2 linked regions of the Mus musculus genome follow. The protein of the gene in region 2 interacts with the protein of the main gene of each other region in a pairwise test. Links are inferred from orthologs where the notes say so. Each region holds a gene or a part of one and is shown on either strand. Other genes may lie near its edges.

Region 1 (4,222 bases), on a different chromosome or scaffold from region 2:
CAGATGCTGGGGAATCAAACGCAAGCCTTTCTGCTCGTGTGGCAAGCACTTTATAGTGTGAGCACTGCCTCCTTTGCTTCGGCTCTGTTTTAAACATTCCTCTCATGCTGTGTGTTTTCTCTGAGGCCTCCTCAGAATAAAGTCCTGGGGCTTCCATGGCACACGGGCCTAGGCGGTCTTATCTTTCCTCCTTCATCTTTCTGCCCTCCCCTCTGCTCGTCCCCACTCCCCCAGTGCCCAGGAAACAGACTGGAGCTTCCTGACCACAGAACGCTGCTCCTTCTGCTGGGCCACCCACCCTTCCAAGCTCCTGGACAACCCTCATCTACAGTCAGGTTCACTGTTTAATCAACGCTCCTTTCCGCTAACCATGAGTCAACCTGTGCCAAAGCCCAGAAATGCAATGCTGAATAACACACTTTTATCTTTTCTTTCCTCTAGAAAATGTGCCTCTGAGGCCGCGGAGGGAGAGATGAAACGTAGAGATGAAAGCTGTTAGGTTGGGCAGATGCCCTTTGCTAGTGGGCCACCTCAGAGGACTGGGAGATTAGGTCCTCCTTAACCCTGGAGCTTCCGGTCCAGGAGACTCTAGTGAACGCCTGGCACCTGTTTATGCTGCTTCCTGTGCACACATATTTAAGATAAAGTTTAAATTCACAAATTATTCACAGCAAGAGATTAACAAGAATTAGAGGTGGAACAATTGCAGCAATATGGTTATAATTAATTTGGTGTGGATGTTTTTCCTCTCAGAGTATCTTACTGACAAGTGTGGTGGCACCCACCTTTAATATGAGTTCTCAGGAGGTAGAAGCAGGCAGACAGATAATTTGTGAATTCTGGGCCAGCCTGGTCTGTGTGGTGAATTCCAGGCCAGCCAGGGCTACACAGTGAGACCATGTCTCAAGTAAAATAAATCAAAATATACTACTACTATTCTGGAACTTTCTATTTCAGAGCTTGGGTAGCAAAAATCATGGGAGTCAAGCCAGTCCTCAGATGGGGAGCAACTATTGTATCAACTGGTGAGTAGACAGCTGCTAATCACTCCTAAGTCACTCTGGTGTTTAAAAGAGTGCCCCCAACTGCCCAGGGATGATAACAGAGACTGGGTTTGCCTTTACACAGCTGCTAAGTAATGTGAAACATGGTTAATTCAAACACTTTAAAAGCCATGCCTTCCTAATGGGCTTTTAAATCATAGACATATGCTAATATGCTTTTTAAATCATGCATGTATTGAATGAAAACTAGGCTGCCAACCAAGACAAGCAGATGATGAGAACCCAGACCTTCCCTTGCTGTCCCAGCAGTGATCCAGGATACTCTGATCCCCCACACTGGGGCACCTTCTTTGGGTATAAATTTCCCATAGCATCCATCTCACGGTGTTGGATGTCCAGGAGAATCTGCTCAGCTGTGGCCCTGGCTGCCAGGATAGCATTGTGTCCATATTGCATGCATGGACCTGGATGAAAAGGCTGGAACAGACCAGAACCTTGCAACTGCTGTCTAAGGCTGACCTCAGCTCAGCCAGGATATGCAGTTATTCCTGTCTCTACTGAGCTCCTAGATAGGGAAGTCTATTTCTTAGAGCCTTTATCCAGCCTCAGGGAGACTCAGCATCTTAATGTCTGGCTCCAGCAACCATCTACTTTCTTCAAAAGCTTCTATATGTTTTTTTTTAAGGCACTAATTTGGTAAAAATAAACTTTCTGAAATATTTTAAATTTCAGAGTAACTTACAATCACTTCATTAAATGTCCAGTTTCTACCAACTAGTGAAAACAACAGCCAAATGGTTATTGGATAAAGAAATTAATTTTCTCTTCAGCTTCTGTGGGAAAGCACATGATTTTAAGGGTTTATCTCAGATCAGCCTAGTGACCCTAGCTGGCATGTTGTCCCATCAGGCGCTCTAGGAAACTGAAAACTTGAATAGTTACTTCCTAGGCCGCCTGCCCCAGTTTGACAGTACCAGACTGAATCTTCGGTCTTATTCAAAGTACAGGAATCCAACCTCACTTTTCAAAAGCGTATTAACAAAGCCTTGCAATTGTAGTAGACTTGTGACTCATTTGTGGATACCCGTGTAGAAACAACAGCTCCTCCCTCTGCTGAGAAATGGCTCTAATAAGTGTGAGAGTCACAGGAAGTAAAACGCAGGTCTCAGCTGATGTTCGCGGAGCCAAAGAAGCCAACAGAATTCCGTGGTGTGGTTCTCTAAGCAAAGCCATCAGATCGGTTTCCTAAAACAAACTACCCCAAATCCTCCGTGGGAGCTGTTTCAACGCGGTATCAGTGTTCCTGTATTTCCTGGCTCCTGAGTCATACTGTCAAGTTCAAGTGGAGAAGTGTCCATTCTGATGTGTTAGAGAAAGTGGCGACCGAACTGAATAAAACACCTCCATTAAATAAAAACAACAAAAATTCAAAACAGAAGTTGCCTCAGGAAGCTTCAGAGTCAGTCTACATTTCTGAAGCACTTCTGATAACGCATTATATTCTTAAACATAAAAAAAAAAAAAAAAAAAAAAAAAAAAAAAAAAAAAAAAAAAAAGCTCTCGGCTCTAGGTGAGAAACCCAAAGCCTCGTCCTGAAGGTACCTAGAGGCACAGAGGGAACCACACCCCAAACCCACCTGCAGCTGCGCAGCATCCCTGCCAGCGCGGTCCACCACTCCAGCCAACCCCGAACCTGGGTCCCCGATGTCGAAAGAGTTAGAGAGCTAAGCAGACTCGCGGGACAAAACGAACCGTGATCCTGCGGGGCGCTGATCCAGCGTCCGGACGCCGGGAGGACACCGCGGCGTGTCCCCGCGGCTCTGCCCCCTCCGCTTCTTGCTGGCCCGGGCTGCGCTTCTCAGCCGGGGTCCGAGCCCTGAGCCGCAGGGCCGCGTCTGGTGCTGCTGGCTCCGCCCCTGCCGCGCTGAGGCTGCACAGCTGGGGACCAGGGCCCCGCCCCGGGGACGCCCTCGGCTAGGCGCGCAGCTTCCCGTCCCGACTGGGGTCGCCACGCTGCGGGTTGCTGGGAACCTAAGCACGAGCCTTCTTCCCCTCCTGTGCACCCCGAGATGCTGCGGGCGACGGTGTGGACCACCCGGGAACTTGCTCTTTCTTCTTCCTTGCTCTGGGATGGAGAGATGGGCGGGGCGGGATCCATCGGACTTTCCGCGGGAAAACCCCTCAGCGCGGATGACTTTTGCAGTCCAGAGTAGTTCCGAAACTAGGGCACTAGAAACCGTTTCTGAGCGTGGGTGTGGCTGCGCCAGCGGGGACCCGCACGACTGCCTAACCCGAGGTTGTGGACCACGTAGACACTGAGCCCCGCCTTCCACTAGCCCCTTCCTGCCTGCTGTCAGTGGGACACCCACAGGAGTATTGCCACGACCTTGTCCTCGTTGCCTGGCACCCTACTGGGGGCTCAGAAACAGAAAAGGGGCATTCTGGCTAGGGGGTGGGAAACCGCTGGACAAACAAGGTAGAAGGCTAGCCATCAAGAAACAAAGAAAGTATGAGAGGAGGGGCTGGAGAGATGGCTCAGTGGTTAAGAGCGCTGACTGCTCTTCTAAAGGTCCTGAGTTCAAATCCCAGCAACCACATGGTGGCTCACAGTGGCTCACAACATCCATAATGAAATCTGACGCCCTTCTCTGGTGTATCTGAAAGACACAGCTACAGTGTACTTACATATAATAATAAATAATATTTAATAAATCTTAAAAAAAGAACACAGGAAGAAAGAAAGATGATATGCATTGATAGGAAGCCACCGCCAGAAGAATTTGAGGAACAAGGTGTTACGGTAACCCAAAGTTATCCATCTAATGTGAAATGACCGATGAATCGATCTACTAATGTAAGGCCAGGTAAGGCCAGAAAGACAAATCTCCGGGGCAGAGCAACTTCAGGCAACTTAAGCAGAAACTCCACTTTCATGGAAAAGAAGCTTGTCTCTGCACTCTAAGTGTGGGCCAGCCTGCTCCTCACCTCAACAGAGGACTGTATGGAAAGGAGACGGAAAGTAGTTTTTACCACACACAGAGCAGCCACACAGTTCACCCAATACACAAGGTCAGATACTTAAAGCCAGGTAAAGGTAACACTTTATCCTTGGGGCCTTTCTCCTCCATGCCCCAGCCTTCTGTTTTGTTTTGCTTTTCATTTGTTTTGTTTTGTTTTTTTGAGTCAGGGTTTCTCTGTGTAGTCCTGGCTGTCCTGGA
Region 2 (2,440 bases):
CGTGAGCAAAGGGAGATGGTAGGTTTGGGGTGAGGGCAGTAGCTGCTGTCCCGAGTCTCAACCCGGCCTTTTCCAGGACCGCCTTATCGGGGCCACCGGCAGCTTCAGCCATTTCACCTTGTGGGGTCTGGAAACGGTCCCGGGTCCAGATGCCAAAGTGCATAGGGCCCTAGGTTGGCCCAGCCTCGCAGCAGCGGTACGTATACTCAGGAGCCCTTTTCCTCCTCAGACTTGGTCAGTCCTTCTATCCGATTTGAATAGTGTCTCTAGTGATTTGGGGGCTTTAGGGCAATAAACACCACGGGGATCATGGCTCCGGAGGCCCAAACTCCCAGTGGTGGGGGGCATTCCCCACTTTTCTCTTAGACGAGGCTATCACCCTGAGCAGCTGGGTCCCCACCCAACTGCTGTGTATTATAAGTCACAAAGTAGAAGTGACTCCTGTTGCAGATTCACGCCCAGGTCCCTGAGGACTGAGAACCAGATCATGAGAATGACAGTCACAGATCCCTTCTCACCACTTGGAGCGACTGTTTCTATCCCAATAAATGAGATCTTCACAATGCCTGAGTCTGTGGGCACCTTAGCACCCTGAAGCTGCCATTACATGGCACCCAGTTTGGTAAGAACTCCTGATAGCTCTGCCTATATAAACAATTTATTTCTGGGGGCAAGAGGGGCCAGAACTTTGCAACCAGCGCCCACCCCACCCTCCAGCTCCTCCTTTATAAAAGAAATTTTTACAATCACCGGTCCTGTACAGAATGCTCCCCACCCATCTTAATGTACACAGCTGCCTGGATCCCTTTGGTCCACGTGTTCAGAGCGGACCTGGGCCAGTAAGCCAGTTATCCTCGGAGTTGGCCTAGACCTGAGCTTGCCTTGGCACTGGCCACTAGTGGGCCCCTCCTAGGCCTCTTCTCCTCTTGGGTCTGTTCTTCGGCCTGTCTCACTTTGCGTGCCTCTTCGAAGCTCAAATGGGACAAGACAGGGTGCTAGCCATGGTTCGGCCAGCTCTCGTGGTATGGCAATGGGTAGTGTGTGTCACCACTTTCCTCTCTTGCTCCAGTCTTTGGGAGTGAAGTGCAGACACTTGGAGTCAATCCGAAGGAGCCGCTTGAGCATAGCCCGCTCATGCCCATCCACGATGTCTTCTGACAGAGTTAGGATATACTGGCCCTGAGCAAGAGATAGAGCCAGCTCATGTCAGCTCAGAGCCTGCATCCATATCTCATCTATCCCCTGAGCATGCCTCCTAACCTTGTAGTAATTGATGAGGTTGAGATACTGCAGTGTGGAGATGACATCTTCTTTCTTGATACTAGTGATTTCACTGATCTCACTGTGGGGGTGGAAGTGGGGGAAAGTTCAGTCCCCTGAAGATATTCATCTGTCCCCAGAAACCCCAGGAACAGACAGACCAAACCACAACCCCCAGGTGGGCATTTGGGCTCACTTGATGGTGATCTGTGGCCTCTCCCCGCTCTCCGACTTCAGCCCCATCAGGATCTCCAAGATGGTTTGGGACCAGTAACTTCGGTAGGATAGGAGGCCAAGATCTGACAGGGGTTTCTCAGGAGTTCCGGTCTTCCCTTCTACTTTCGAGAGTTCATAGCCTAAAGCAATAGAGCACAGGAGGCGGAGTAAGCGTCACATGTACACAGCAGCTTATGAGGAAGAAGGGCTGTGGAGCTGGGCTGCCTGCCTGCCTCTCACTTACTCTTGGTGTGGACCAGCAGCTTCCCTGTCTGCAGTGTTGGGGGCCAAAGGCTAGAAGAGCAGCTCTGGTTGGGTACTTGTCAGCCAGTGAAGGCTGCCAGGATGGGTCGCTGCCCTGCCAGCCTGTGTCTGGGTGTATGGCAGTAATGAGGGAGCCCTTTGTGGTCTGAGGACATGGGAACCTTTTCAGTGTCATCAGTTTAGCTGCGATCCTGGGAACGCCAGCTGCTCTCAGCAGAATGGGCTGGGTGGTTAAGGACATAATAGGAAAGGACAGGGGGCTCCTCAGAGCCAGGTACCTGACCCTTGGTGGCCCTTTCCCTTACCTGTGTTGACCACAAGGCGCTGCCAGACAGTCTCTGAGACCGTTAGGCCCCAGTGAGCCGACAGCTCTTTATGTCCCCATTAGTTTGGAGACCCTTCCTTCCCCTCAGCTCTACTGGCCTCGTGATGATCCAAGCACTCTCGGCTCCTGGCTGAATCTCTATTTGTAGTCTCACCCTCTTTGCTCAAGCACCCTTGGACAAGAAGGGCGGGAGAGGCTGGTGTCAGGGTCCACACAGTTAATAGCCCCACAAGTCTACTGGCAGCCATATTTGCCTCTAGTTAGGAACTGTGTACAAGGATTGCCTCCCTTCCTTTTATCAGTCTGTTGGCATTTGTGTGTCCTACTGGGCAAAGCAGGCACATCCTCACGGTTTGCCCTGAGTTTCCTTTCTCC

What was found. The genes of interacting proteins can lie anywhere in the genome.
Region 1: the proteins of Kat5 (region 2) and Stx11 interact in binary tests that used the Homo sapiens proteins (3 or more experiments, as listed by UniProt). The two-hybrid records come from large-scale screens. The link is inferred for Mus musculus from reciprocal best matches to the Homo sapiens genes KAT5 and STX11.

Annotation. Positions count from the first base shown.
Region 1 is NC_000076.6:12,961,359-12,965,580, forward strand, and holds the start of Stx11 (syntaxin-11), read right to left. Parts: upstream 2,902-4,222; 5' UTR 2,642-2,901; intron 1-2,641. UniProt on the Homo sapiens protein: SNARE that acts to regulate protein transport between late endosomes and the trans-Golgi network.
Region 2 is NC_000085.6:5,602,374-5,604,813, forward strand, and holds the end of Kat5 (histone acetyltransferase KAT5), read right to left. Parts: intron 1,964-2,440; exon of another isoform or gene 1,721-1,963; intron 1,617-1,720; coding exon 1,457-1,616; intron 1,343-1,456; coding exon 1,261-1,342; intron 1,180-1,260; coding exon 1,045-1,179; 3' UTR 641-1,044; downstream 1-640. Other genes in the region: Rnaseh2c (ribonuclease H2 subunit C), read left to right, coding at 1-1, 77-196, 451-477. UniProt on the Homo sapiens protein: Catalytic subunit of the NuA4 histone acetyltransferase complex, a multiprotein complex involved in transcriptional activation of select genes principally by acetylation of nucleosomal histones H2A and H4.